Arabidopsis thaliana: one gene and its partner. The protein of the gene in region 1 interacts with the protein of each later gene in a pairwise test. Each region holds a gene or a part of one and is shown in the gene's direction. Other genes may lie near its edges. The genes, in order: PTAC4 and CR88.

The links.
Region 2: the proteins of PTAC4 (region 1) and CR88 interact in a protein complementation assay, tested with the Arabidopsis thaliana proteins (one study listed by BioGRID).

Annotation. Positions count from the first base shown.
Region 1 is NC_003070.9:24,234,189-24,241,509, forward strand, and holds PTAC4 (plastid transcriptionally active 4), read left to right. Parts: upstream 1-1,899; 5' UTR 1,900-2,140; coding exon 2,141-2,279; exon of another isoform or gene 2,280-2,434; intron 2,435-2,651; coding exon 2,652-2,761; intron 2,762-2,857; coding exon 2,858-2,968; intron 2,969-3,101; coding exon 3,102-3,166; intron 3,167-3,251; coding exon 3,252-3,333; intron 3,334-4,091; coding exon 4,092-4,166; intron 4,167-4,591; coding exon 4,592-4,662; intron 4,663-4,782; coding exon 4,783-4,865; intron 4,866-5,436; coding exon 5,437-5,501; intron 5,502-5,735; coding exon 5,736-5,810; intron 5,811-6,123; coding exon 6,124-6,240; 3' UTR 6,241-6,540; downstream 6,541-7,321. Other genes in the region: AT1G65250 (Protein kinase superfamily protein), read left to right, coding at 244-1,362. UniProt on the Arabidopsis thaliana protein: Required for plastid vesicle formation and thylakoid membrane biogenesis, but not for functional assembly of thylakoid protein complexes.
Region 2 is NC_003071.7:1,279,571-1,286,720, forward strand, and holds CR88 (Chaperone protein htpG family protein), read left to right. Parts: upstream 1-2,183; 5' UTR 2,184-2,412; coding exon 2,413-2,664; intron 2,665-2,772; coding exon 2,773-2,846; intron 2,847-2,931; coding exon 2,932-3,057; intron 3,058-3,147; coding exon 3,148-3,241; intron 3,242-3,331; coding exon 3,332-3,415; intron 3,416-3,502; coding exon 3,503-3,646; intron 3,647-3,728; coding exon 3,729-3,845; intron 3,846-3,927; coding exon 3,928-3,963; intron 3,964-4,076; coding exon 4,077-4,157; intron 4,158-4,234; coding exon 4,235-4,339; intron 4,340-4,434; coding exon 4,435-4,575; intron 4,576-4,666; coding exon 4,667-4,759; intron 4,760-4,848; coding exon 4,849-4,926; intron 4,927-5,004; coding exon 5,005-5,259; intron 5,260-5,341; coding exon 5,342-5,444; intron 5,445-5,525; coding exon 5,526-5,700; intron 5,701-5,795; coding exon 5,796-5,901; intron 5,902-5,981; coding exon 5,982-6,071; intron 6,072-6,150; coding exon 6,151-6,339; 3' UTR 6,340-6,574; and 1 more. UniProt on the Arabidopsis thaliana protein: Molecular chaperone required for chloroplast biogenesis. Essential for chloroplast biogenesis and maintenance, and thus for embryogenesis. May be involved in the disassembly of VIPP1 for thylakoid membrane formation and/or maintenance.

The DNA of each region.
Region 1 (7,321 bases):
TAAACAAGTAACAAACGTTAAAATTTTAAAATATGATGACATCAGCAGACCCAAATTTCCTAAAAGTCCTTGCAACTCTAATAAATTCCTATTTTCTGATTTTCGTTGAAGAACGTAATGTTGAAAATTCAACAAGAATTGAGTACATTGTACTCGTTTGCAACTCATTGTGTGAGGTCTCGAATCCTTTGCTCATTTTGATTTCAAATAAAGCTTTCTTTCCCTTAATTCTTAGATTTTGAGATGGGTTGGCTGAGGAAGAAGAAGAAGCCAAAATCCGATATAGCGTCCGAGAGAGGGGCCAAGTTGTTAGAAGAGCTCATCGAATGTTGCGATGGCAAATCCAATCCCATCAAATTCTTCTCTGCTGATGAGATCCTCAAAGCCACCAACGATTTCAGCGACTCTAATTTTGTTTTACGATTAGAAGTTCCCTTCAAATGGTATTCTGGTAAGAACGAGAATCATCCCATGATACTAATCAAGAAAGATGTTGGCTGGTGGAGTGGCTTGAGAGTAGATCGTTTGTGCCGCGACATAGCAGTTTCATCGATGGTGAGTGGTCACAAAAACTTCATGAAGTTGGTTGGATGTTGTCTTGAGTTAGATTATCCAGTCATGGTGTATCATAGTGTTAAGAAACATTACAAATTAGAAATAAGTGAACAGCCATGGAAAAAGAGAATGAAGATAGCAGAAGATATCGCTACTGCTTTAGCTTACCTTCACACCGCCTTCCCTAGGCCCTTTGTATATAGGATTTTGTCTCATTGGAATATCTTATTGGATGAAGATGGTGTCGCCAAGCTGACTGATTTCTCTCACTGCGTCTCAATCCCAGAAGGAGAAACATTTGTCCGGGTTGACAGAGACGTGGGATTATATAGTTACTTTGCTGATAATTACGTTAGGAGTGGCCTAGTCTCAGATAAAACAGATGTCTTTGCCTTTGGAATCTTTATGGGTCATAGGCTTCTATTAGGATACGAATACTATTTCGAGCATTATCGAGGAGAAGAAGAAGAAAGTGAAGATGGATTTGACAGTCTGATGAAAAGACATGCTCGGAATTTGCTCTCAACATTAAAGGAAGACAGACCAATGGAAGAGATTGCAGATTCAAAGATGATAGAAAAGATGGGTCAAATTTCAGAACAAGAGCGTTGTCAAATGAAAGCTTTCTTGAAGCTATCACTGAGATGCACCGGCCCTAGTGAAGAAGTTCCAACGATGGTGGAAGTGGCCAAAGAACTAAACAAGATTCAAAGATCTCTTTTTAACGACTCTTCTTCTCTTTCTTCAGGTCAAACCCAACTCGACTCTGCCCAAGACATTTCTTCCACAGTGGTCCTCTCAAATTAGACACTGCTACCAAGTATTGCCTGCCAGGTATTTCATGAAATGTTTCAATGGGTTATGTTGAGCTGGTTTCGTTTTTTCAGGAAAAAAATCGAACAATGTGCTGAAAATAACTTCGATTCTTGTTTGTATTAAAACATTATCAAGTTTCATTTTTGTTGTTGTATTTATAAATAGTGCTACGTTACTTTTGATTCATTATATTGTCCCTTAGAGTCTGTGTATGTGTGTTTGGATTTTGATGGATGCGTCTGTGTTTGTTAATTCAAGAGATATCTACTCGTGTATTATAAGGGAAAGTCTCCCAAGTCAATAACAATTCTAAAGTTTACATTGTGAGTTGGGAAACATGGTTCATTGACGTAAGTTTGCAAATTCCAGCAACTACATATGAACAATGCAATCAATATTGAACTGTGAACTCCATGATTGTTTGGTGGATTTGGACATTCACATCTATACTAAAGTGAAACATTCATGACGGTAAACTTCTCTTGGAGCTGTATCTTGCATATTAAGAATCAAAGAATATCAGTGAATTATGATCTTCATTGTCAGCTTTGTCTTTTCAAGAGTTCTGATCTTCAGCTTTGAGTAATTTCCGTTTTCAATTCCAATAAAATATGTTTTATGAAAAAATCAATGTTATTCATCGACCAAAACGACGTAGGATAGAGAAAGAAAAATGGGAACAACATCCGAGTAGCCTCCGAGACCACAAACATCCTCCAATAAGCCAAAAGAAGACGAGAGAAGGAGAAGAGTCGAAATCGCCATTGAAATGGCTCTCAAAGCTTCACCTGTTACCGGATTATTCCCTCCTCTCCGTCCTACTGCTTCTTCTTCCCCTTCGACTTCTTCTAATCGCCCTTGTTCCCTCAGGATTCTCCCTCTCAGAACATCTTTCTTCGGTAACTCAAGTGCGTCTCCTTCTTCTCTACTTCGCTTTAGGGTTTGGCTTTATCTTCATTTCACTAGCTTGCGCCTTGTTTGGATTGCTTGGAGGAAAATAGTGCAGCTATTTGCTCAAATTGGGTAACGTGATTAGTCAGAGAGAGAATTGAAGTAAAATTGGGTATTGATTGTGCTTTTTAGTGTATGATTTGTCGATTTTGTGTTTCTTGATTTAGTATAAATGAGGTTACTCTTAGTCAGTGTCTATAACTTCAGTATGCTTTGACTGTTTCACATGTCTAACATTTAGTTCTCTTGCTTTTTAGTTATGTTGTTGGTTTGATGTTTCCATGAACTTATTGTTAGACTCAATAAAGATTATTGTTTATTTTTACAAGGTGGAGCGCTGAGAGTGAATGTGTTGAGATTAGCTTGTGATAATAGACTCAGGTGCAATGGTCATGGTGCTACTATGAATCTTTTTGAACGATTTTCTAGAGTGGTCAAGGTACTTATACCCTTTCTCATTCTGTATTTGACTGTCATTATGCATTGGAGTTCATTAATCAGTTCTCTTGTTTATTTTTCATTTTAATAAGCGAAGTCATATGCAAATGCGCTCATAAGCTCTTTTGAAGACCCGGAGAAAATCCTGGAGCAAACTGTCATTGAAATGAATAGTGATTTGACAAAGATGCGTCAAGCCACTGCACAGGTGCACTTCTTACTCTTGAACAAACTTTATACATTTTCCTGTACGATATTTTTCTTCTTCATTTTTTTACTACAGCATGGTTGGCCCCTATTTATGAGATTAGCTAACTTGTGTATTATCAACGTGTCTGAAGGTTTTAGCATCACAAAAGCAGTTACAGAACAAATATAAAGCTGCACAGCAGTCTTCTGATGATTGGTATGTGTGCTTTTGCGTGGACCTTGCTTCCATACCTAAATTCTTCTCTGAGCTGATTATTCTTACATGTTACACGTTTAAATAGGTACAAAAGAGCACAACTTGCTCTTGCAAAAGGAGATGAGGATCTTGCACGTGAGGCCCTTAAACGACGAAAGTCTTTTGCTGTAGGTTATATCTATCCATTCTTTTGTCCACCAGTTTTCTGTTTCTTAAGTTTGCTTACTCCAACAAATGAAAGACCCTAATCGTTTAGCGCATCGAGCGATTTGAGGCTGATCTCTTGGTTTTCTGCAAGGTTTAGTTAGGTGGTGGTGAAAGTAAAATGGAAAAATTTAGATATCTAAGTATTCTGTAATTCTCCTCAGGACTTGCCCCCTTTTCCAATCATTTTTTGATGCAATAGAGCTTGGCAGTGTTTATAGTACTCTTTTGAAATATATTGTTTGTTGAGTTTGTTAAGGTGATTGCAGTGACAAAAGATATTTTGGATATATATAACACTACAGATGCAGCCAAAAACGACCCTTCTGTGTTTCTACATATTAGGATGTTGACTATTGTCTTTCAGTATCAGAAAAAAAAATCAAAATCAAATTTTGGTTCTATGTAGAATTTCGGAAACAGCCAAACACGATTCTTCAGTGTTTTTTACATATCAGTATCTTGGCTATCATCTTTGATGTGCTTTTGTTTGAGCAACAGACCGTATGGCTCTTTTTCAGTTTTGTTGATTTATGTATTTGTGTAACCTTTGCAAATGGCTAACGAATAATAGGCAGGTAAATTTTCACTATCTTTTACCTGCTGATACCTTATCGACTACTGAAGTCTCTTGAATACATCCATTCTCTAACTTTATAAAGTTACCTTAAAAAAAAACTAGAACTTTAGGTTTTGAAGTTATTACCTTTTTTCTTAACAGGACAACGCTACTGCTTTGAAAACTCAACTAGATCAGCAAAAAGGTGTTGTCGACAATCTTGTTTCAAATACAAGGGTTAGTTTTCACCATATTTATCTATATATTTTGTATTTTGATTTACTATACACTGTTGGAATCTTTAGAGCTATGATTAAATGAATTTATCGTCATGCATTTACTCAATAAAACAAAGAATCATGTATACATTAATTTTCGTCATGCCACCATACAATTTGAATGGTTTAGAGATAGTACCATAGTTAAATACCTCCGTCATAAGATTCATATGCCAAGTATCTCTCTTCACGTTTTGTACTAAGGAGCTATTGTATCTCTATGGACATAATGTAGAAGATATTTTAGATTAGTATCTGTATTTTCAGAGTTCTTCCATTTCCATAGCATATGATTCTTATATTTTCTGAAATTGCTTAGGGCGAAGTTTGGTTCTTAGAAAATGAGTTCTGTAATTTTTTTGTTGTTTCCCCTTTTATTTGCAGCTCTTGGAGAGTAAGATACAAGAGGCAAAAGCAAAGAAAGATACGCTCCTTGCACGTGCTCGCACTGCTAAGTTTGTATCATTTCCCTAATACTCTTCTTTATATCATTTATGGAAGCTCGTCCATACAGAGTGTTTCTTGTCGATTTATATATTGTCCCAACTCTATTTGTTTTTTTTAATTCCTGCTAGGACTGCAACCAAAGTGCAAGAGATGATAGGGACAGTAAATACAAGCGGTGCTCTTTCAGCTTTTGAGAAAATGGAGGAGAAAGGTATGATCTCTTGATCCTCCAACTTGTCTATACGCAACCAATACCAGTTAGTCCTATTATTCCTTTCTAAATTTGAAGTTTGGCCTGTAGTTAGGATTAGCATTCAGTCTTTGAAAGTGAGTTTAGATTCCACTACTTTCTCTATGTTAGCTTGTACTACTTGCCACCTAGGCGACAGGGTTACATTAGAAATAGTGCTCAGATTCTGGGCAACGTGGATGTGGAATTAGTGTTGTAGTTACCTCATGCAAAACAATAGAACAGTAATATAATGTGTGCAATGGGACATCGGAGTAAAGGATAAACTTAGCGGAATCCTTGCTTGTTTAGATACAAGAGAGAAATGCCACTGGATAACCTTTTTTCTTATTGCTATTTCTAGCAATTCGTTTAGGTTCTGGTTGATCAATGTTAGTCCGTGCAGATATACCCTCTTATTCTTTCTGTAAATCTCTGAGTTGCTAGTATCAGAATTCCGAACGTGTAATTTTTCGTTGTGAAAGACTTCACATTCTGCTTGTTGATGAATGCTCAGTCTGATAGAGACTAAAATCTAGAAAGTGCTTGACAGTTATGGCTATGGAGTCTGAAGCAGATGCACTAACTCAGATTGGAACCGATGAACTCGAGGGGAAGGTTGGTTGTCTATCTCTTGTCTTGGTATTTCTATGAGGAGAAGAATCTTTCTTTCTCTTTTAAATTTGTTTCAGAGGTAAAATCTTGCATTGATTAGGGTTCGCTGCTTTATCTAATATCTTCTACGACTGATAGGATGGTCTAATCTGGTTTACTGTTTGTTTGTTGGTAGGAGAAGAACTTGTATATCTGCAACCATCTTGACATTAACGTGTATTTCTTTGTGACTTGCAGTTTCAAATGCTTGAAACTTCATCTGTGGATGATGATCTTGCAGACTTGAAGAAAGAATTGTCTGGAAGCTCAAAGGTTTGTAAAACGTCAATCATCTTGTTAGTTCCGTAGAGTTTATAATCTCATCATTCGCGAAAATATTGTATCCACAAGCTACCATATGTCCATATTGCAAATTACCGTCCGAAGAGACTAATGGGTTCAGCAATTTGGGATGGTTCACTAAAATCAACAATTCAAACTACTCAAATTACTTCTATGTTTACCTTACTGTCTTGTTTCATGTTTGACGATAGCCTACTTTGCTACTAACATTTTACTTCACTGAGTTAAGAGTCTGTGAAACATACATCTTATAGTTATCCTCTGTTTATATGATATGGAGCAGAAAGGAGAGCTTCCTCCAGGGAGAAGCACTGTTGCAGCAAGCACGAGATACCCTTTCAAAGACTCAGAGATCGAGAATGAGTTAAACGAACTGCGAAGGAAAGCTAACGACTTTTAGATATCGGCTGTTTCCGAATTGTGACTGGGTTACATTACGTTCCTGCTGTAAACTATCTTGTGTCTTGTAGAAAGACACAAAAAGCATGTGTACTCTTAAAGTAAATATCCAGCTATCTAATCCCCATTTATAGTTGGGTTATGTACATTCAGACACTTTTGAAAGTGTGGTTTCCATTTTGACTCACTTTGTGTCAAGTGGACACGTTTTTTTATAAGCTGTTTTACTCGCATAACCCTCTATCAGCCTCTAAGGCATAAAAGAAAGAGATTCGTCGATTTAAGATAGAAATGCTCGTCTTCCATGTTGACTTGTCTTTCCAGTAAAACATGTTGCCATATTTTCCTAGATTCCTAGCCAATCGTCTTCAGAAACTACAAGGTATGTCTATGTCTAATCAACTGTACCCTCCTCATTGGATACTTAAAGAGCTTAATAATGAGGGTTTGAAATGTTACCAAAAGTTGGTTTAGCCACAAACACAATTCTGCAAGAACTCCTTGATACTGCTAGTCCTGTTTCAACTTTCAAGCAAATATATATCTGTTTATATGATGTGGAGCAATCCTCTTTTTCCGCTAACAGTAATGTTACCAAAAGCATGCTTTCAAATCATATGAACTGGGTGTCTCAGGATAATGTGGATAAAGATCCCTTAGAGATATTACTCTTAACGAAAAAGAGGCACAATTGTGGCAAGTAGGCCATATTGAGTTTAGTTTGGAAACTAGTTGTTTTTTAAATTCGGAAACTCGAACTCGAGTGAGAGATATTTCACAAAATGATTCTTATTTAGGATATCACCCTTTTTTGGACGGGTCTTGGAAAGATAGTGATAAATTCTCAGGAATATGGTGGTTCAATACGTCATCAGATGGAGTTACACCAACCATGAGAGCTGCCAACACCCTTACACGCATATCTCCACTACATTCGGAAGTGGAAGCTCTTCTCTAGGCGATGAAGTGTATGATTGGTGTTAACAACTAAAAAGTAATGTTTTTTCGAAACTATTCAAATCTAGTGAATATGGTGTGTTTTCTAACCGAATGGCCGACACTTTCATTGTATTTGGAAGAAC
Region 2 (7,150 bases), on another chromosome or scaffold:
TTTACCAATTTGAATTCTCTAGATATCTTACATACGAGGATGTGCTTTTAGTCAAATGGACTTAACCATTTGATTCCGCCTTCTCCACCGGAATTCGATTTCACTAAGTTGCGTTATCCCGCAATCCCGCATAGTAGGGATTGAGTATTGATCGGGTCTTGTCGATACAAAGATGTAAAAAAAAAAATTTTACATAGTCTTTTTTTTCTGTTCTTATTCTTTTTTTTGGGGGTAAATATCTGTTATTGAACATTATAATTCAAACACTTCCAAAACTTTTTTTACCTTGTTCTGATATTGATGCAGCGTATCTTGAAGACAAATGCTCCTCCGGTATTCATCACGTCCGAGGAGATTGTTTATTGCTTTACTTTTGGGTTTAGTTTCATATGGACTTAATTAATGTATATTTGGGCTTTGAATATTTGATATTAGTTTGCTTATTCTTTAGGCTAGGGTTTCCATTCTTTTTCTCTTATTTTAAGAGATGTAATTCATTATTGTAATTAGTTTTTGATTATTGAATAAACGAGTTTTAAGAGAGCTTGTCTAAAGCCTAGAGAGGAGGACTCTCAACCCTAAAAGCTTGTGTTCAAGCCCTGCAAGGAGGATTTGCAAAACCTCATCGATATCGTTATCGATCTCGACCTTATCTCTATTGCTTCTTCATCAAGTTTCGGCGTTCTAAACAAAATCCGTTCGTTAATCCGAGTTCTCATAGAGATTTTGTGTTTTCGTCCGTTATTTAGCTTCCGCTCTCCATCAGATATTACTTTTGTTCAGTAGACCATTCATAAATACCTGCCTTGGATCCAAAAATAGGACAAATAAACATCATTTGCATCATTTTATTATTCTTAAAAGAAATTGCAAATTTTTGACCAAATTGCAAATATTTTGTTTTTAGGTTATACCCAATACCCACATACTGTATTATAGTCGTAATAAAAAAAGGAAAAGTTGCAAAATAAGTAGAGGACAGTGAGAAGTTGGTAACTATATATGTTTTGGTTAATTTAGTTATGGGTATGGAGTCTATAACGTATGGTTTCGATATTTCCAATAATTAGCAATCGTGTATCTTCGTTAGCATCAACATTGTTGTATTTTATTTAGTGCACACCTTCTCATAATTTCTAAATCAATAAAATTTTAATATCATTTTATCTTGGTATATGTCACTATGTATGTGGTTATTTTTATGCTTCCATGTTTTTATTTTTTTTGCCATGGAACCATTAGCTTAGGTTGAAAATCATCGATTGTAAACCTATCATGTTTTCATTTTTATGAAATATTAGGTGATCATCCGCGCTACACCACGGTTTTTTCGGATGTTTTTGTATTGTTTAATTTAAATATAATTTTTATTTATCTTATCATTTACTCATGCAATAAGCAATTACATTTAGTATTAAAATATTTTTTTCTAACCACATTCTCAACAATGCATCATACACATAATTTCTAAACAATGTTTATCTTAAACCAATTTAACAGAGGGTAGTGTTGGATTCTATAAACCTAAGAATTTAATGATGGAGCTCCTTACATATTCTTCACCCTCAGTTATTTATTATATAAATATCAATTTAAGAGAATATAAACATCAATTTAAGAGAATATAAACATCAATTTAAGAGAATAACTTAGTTAAATTATTAAGTAATATACTCATACTTTGAGTTTGGATTACCATAAAAATCTTCGAGTATGAGAAAACTATTAAAATGATTTTATTAAAAAATCATGTGATATTAAAATAAATTTAGTAAAAGTACAATTAAATATGTATAATAAAATAATATGTAAAATTAAATATAAATATATCATTAAACTATAGATTTGAAATTGAAGAGATTACATTAATTATTTAATAAACACATGTCAAATGCTAAAGTGATGATGTGTCTATCATATGAAGAGAGTTGGCCAACTTTCATATATATAATTTACGAAAAAAAAAAAAAAAAACAAATATTCAAGATCTCTTTCTTGATATGGGCCAATTTGATACGAAACATTTTCCAGCCATAACCTTTCGTTTTACTTTATACGGGCTATAGGCCCATTATGGGTTAACGTGTAGGCCCAATAAGGTGTTTTTTCAATTTGGTTTGCATTTGGTGTGTGTGTGTGTGTCAGCTACAATTTCTCAAGGAGAGGCGCGTGTAAATCAAACGGATAATCCTACGGTTTTGATGAAATGGCTTCTCGTAGACCTCACAATCTCTAAACATCTCTTCTCTTTATACGCTCTTCTTCTAGAAACCTCTCTTACCTCACTCTCCTTAAACCTTTAATAGGGTTTTTAGGTTACTCTTTGTTCAACTACTACAAACTCTTTTCTCTTTAGAGATTGAGAGATTGTAAAAAAATCTCAAATCTTTTCCTTCACAACTTTCAAATCTAATGGCTCCTGCTTTGAGTAGAAGTCTCTACACATCTCCTTTGACTTCAGTTCCAATCACTCCTGTCTCTTCTCGTCTCTCTCATCTGAGAAGCTCGTTTCTCCCACACGGCGGCGCTTTAAGAACCGGCGTTTCGTGTAGCTGGAATCTCGAAAAGAGATGTAACCGATTCGCCGTGAAGTGTGACGCCGCCGTGGCGGAGAAAGAGACCACTGAAGAAGGGTCAGGTGAGAAGTTTGAGTACCAAGCTGAGGTGGGTTCTCTTTCATATCTCCTAAAGTTTCAATCTTGTTTTCTGGGTATCTCTCAACTTGATGGGGATATAAAGTTTTAAGATTTGATTGTTGAAATCTTATCACAGGTTAGTAGATTGTTGGATTTGATTGTTCATAGCTTATACAGTCACAAGGAGGTGTTTCTCAGGGAGCTTGTAAGGTGAGTCAATTTTGATGGATTGTTTTGGAAATGATTTGTGTGTTTCTGTCAAAATCTGATTTTGAATGTGTCTGTGTATGTTCAGTAATGCAAGTGATGCTTTGGATAAGCTGAGGTTCTTGAGTGTAACAGAGCCTTCTTTGCTTGGAGATGGTGGAGATCTTGAGATTAGGATTAAGCCTGATCCTGATAACGGCACCATCACCATAACGTATGAGAGACTTCTCATTTTTTGTTTTACTTAAGTATTGAAAATTGAATAGAACAGGTTTACTTAGAGAGGTTTGATGCGTATATGCAGTGATACTGGTATTGGAATGACAAAGGAAGAACTTATTGATTGCCTTGGAACTATTGCTCAAAGTGGTACTTCGAAATTCTTGAAGGCTCTAAAGGTTTTTTTTCCATCTCTTTGAAAACCTGTTGCTAGCAAATCTTTGATGTCATGTTTTCGGACTCATTGTTTTATTGCTCTCTTTATTCAGGAAAACAAGGACCTTGGTGCTGACAACGGTTTGATCGGACAGTTTGGTGTTGGGTTTTACTCTGCTTTCTTAGTTGCTGAGAAGGTGAAGACTTTCAACTTTTGTTTTTTAGTGTCTTCTGGTTAATGTATTTCTTACGAGGAATGGACGTACAATTGTCTTTGCTTTCAGGTTGTTGTGTCCACCAAAAGCCCCAAATCTGACAAGCAATATGTTTGGGAATCGGTTGCCGATAGTAGCTCGTATCTGATCAGAGAAGAAACAGACCCTGATAACATTCTACGTCGTGGAACACAAATCACCTTGTATCTGAGGGTACTTTTCTTTATTCATTCATCCTTTCATTTGATGCGTCAGATCTCTTATAGTTTGTTTGACTGCTTATTCCTGGCTGCAGGAGGATGATAAATACGAATTTGCGGAGTCTACAAGGATCAAGAACCTCGTGAAGAATTACTCTCAGTTCGTTGGGTTTCCTATCTATACATGGCAGGAGAAATCAAGGACTATAGAGGTGAGGATGAAAGTTTTGTTTTTGTAATCATATTAGTGTATTCACATTGCTAATATGGTTTAAAATTTGTAACTTGTGGTAGGTCGAAGAGGACGAACCAGTTAAGGAAGGAGAAGAGGTAAAAAAATTATGTTGTTTTAATTGTGTGTATCAACTATCAAACAGTCACAACCAAAAGACTGTTCTAGAATTTTGTTTACTGAGTTGATTTTGTTACTTGTTTGTTTCCAGGGTGAGCCAAAGAAAAAGAAGACCACTAAAACTGAGAAGTATTGGGATTGGGAACTAGCCAACGAGACCAAACCGCTATGGGTAAGCCTTGGAGCTTTAGCCTGCGTTTTGTACTTTTCTTTCAACATGTTTACTGATTATTTTGTGTCTTTGAATAGATGCGCAATTCGAAGGAAGTGGAAAAAGGAGAGTACAATGAGTTCTACAAAAAGGCTTTCAATGAGTTCTTGGATCCACTTGCTCACACACACTTCACAACTGAGGTCTTTATACTTATACACTATACACTATATTTATGTCAATTTATGAATTCTTCAATTGGTGCTTACTAGTCTCTGTATTGTCTTGATTATTAAAGGGTGAGGTTGAGTTCAGGAGCATTTTGTACATCCCTGGGATGGGTCCTCTTAACAATGAAGATGTTACAAACCCGAAAACAAAGAACATTCGTCTCTACGTGAAGCGTGTGTTTATCTCTGACGATTTTGATGGAGAGCTTGTGAGTCTTTTATGGGTTCTTTCTTATGTAGAAATCTCTTTAGATTTGTGGTTCAATTTTTATCTGACTATGTTACCTAATCTGTTTGCAGTTCCCGAGATATCTGAGCTTTGTGAAGGGAGTTGTGGACTCTGATGATCTTCCTCTTAATGTTTCTCGTGAAATTCTCCAAGAAAGCAGAATTGTGAGTGGTGCAACTGTTAGTGATACAAATGTTTATCATATATGAATATCACAAATTGTAACTGTACTATCTTTCGTGATAATGTTCAGGTAAGAATCATGAGAAAGAGGCTCATTAGAAAAACCTTTGACATGATACAAGAAATCTCTGAGAGTGAAAACAAAGAGGTAGGTATCTCATTATCCTAATTTTGTTTTGAGCTCATTTGAAAGCCAGGGATATTCATGTTGTACAAACAATTCTAGGATTACAAGAAATTCTGGGAGAACTTTGGTAGATTCCTTAAATTGGGTTGTATTGAAGACACCGGTAACCACAAGCGTATCACACCGCTACTTAGATTCTTCAGTTCCAAGAATGAAGAGGAATTGACAAGCTTGGATGATTATATCGAGAACATGGGAGAGAACCAAAAGGCGATCTACTACCTCGCAACTGATAGTCTTAAAAGTGCCAAGTCTGCCCCTTTCTTGGAGAAACTAATCCAAAAAGATATCGAGGTATATGCTTCAAGACTTGTTTTTCAACTTCGAGTTTCTGTTTAGATTTGACTTTCTCACCACTTGCTTTTGTTAATTATAGGTTCTATATTTGGTTGAACCAATCGATGAAGTTGCTATTCAGAATTTGCAAACCTACAAAGAAAAGAAATTCGTTGATATCAGTAAAGAAGATTTGGAACTCGGTAAGTATGGTTTAGCACTGCTGACTGCCCGCACATTTCTCTCAACCATTTGTTTGTAACAAAACGTGTCCATTCTCGCAGGAGATGAAGATGAAGTAAAGGACAGGGAAGCGAAACAAGAGTTTAACCTTCTCTGTGACTGGATAAAACAGCAGCTCGGTGACAAAGTTGCAAAAGTCCAAGTCTCAAACCGTTTGAGCTCTTCTCCTTGTGTGCTTGTCTCTGGCAAATTCGGGTGGTCAGCTAATATGGAAAGGTTAGTACTTCAGCAAAAGCTTTATAACCTGAAATCCACATACCATAAAACTTATGTGCTTGTTCATTGACTTATGTGCTTATTCATTGTGAAAGGCTAATGAAGGCACAGGCTCTTGGAGACACTTCAAGCCTGGAGTTCATGAGAGGTAGGAGAATACTAGAGATCAATCCAGATCATCCCATCATCAAAGACTTGAACGTAAGTGTGTGGTATAATATTCTCTCAGAAATCTCTTGTCTCGAAAAAGCCTTATTAATTTTTGTATTCTTTTGGTACAGGCTGCTTGTAAGAATGCACCAGAGAGCACTGAAGCAACAAGAGTGGTCGATCTCTTGTATGACACTGCTATAATATCAAGTGGATTCACTGTAAGAAATCTGAAACCTTTCTTGTTTCCCAGTAAAAGTCTTGGACCATTTTACTCACTTATATGTGTTTGTTGTACAGCCTGATAGCCCGGCCGAGCTCGGGAACAAGATATATGAGATGATGGCAATGGCGGTTGGAGGAAGATGGGGCAGAGTTGAAGAAGAAGAAGAAAGCTCGACTGTGAATGAAGGAGATGACAAAAGCGGAGAAACAGAGGTAGTTGAACCATCTGAAGTGAGGGCAGAGAGTGATCCTTGGCAAGATTGATCCTTTTTTACCTTCTTTTGTTTGCAGTGATTTTTTTTTGACAGAACGCTTTATCTTTCCATTAGCAGTATCATGGGCCTAATGAAAGCCCATAATTAAATCACGCGTGAACGAGATTTATCCAATACAGTATTTGTAGTTTTTTTTTGATAATTAAAATAATTTTAGAGAATTTACACAAAAAAAGCTTTTAACAAAAATATTTACGAATATTTGAAAAATATTTGCATTTGAGTTGTATTAAATATTCTGAATTTACATCCTCTTATTATTAAAAAGAAAATACAAATTGAAAAATAGTCTAATCTGCCATCAATTTTCAATTTTGGATTTTGTACATTATTAATCAAAATCGTCTATGGTAATTTGGTCATCACTCTATATTCCTTAAATACACTATATTTCAAATTTAAATAATATTTCTTAAACACACTATATTCAATACTTATCACCTATTTATTGTTTTTTCAAAGATTTAAAAAAACTAAATATAAAAAATCAATCTAAAATAAACCAAAAATATAGTTATTAATTTTACATATTTTTTATTAAAAATATTATGTTGGCAAACAATATTAAGAGCTCGCGAATTAATTAGTGGAGCGGATTAGAATTTACAATAATTCATAATTATGCATATGGAATAAATTATATTTAAAAATCAATATTCGATATATCAAAATATGGTACAATCACACATTTTCCGGATATTATTTAAACTAATAATCTTAACGGTCCATTAAAACTTTCCAAATCAAAATGATTTCCAAATCAATCATTTGATGGAAAATTTCTTGGTCAAAATTTAAAT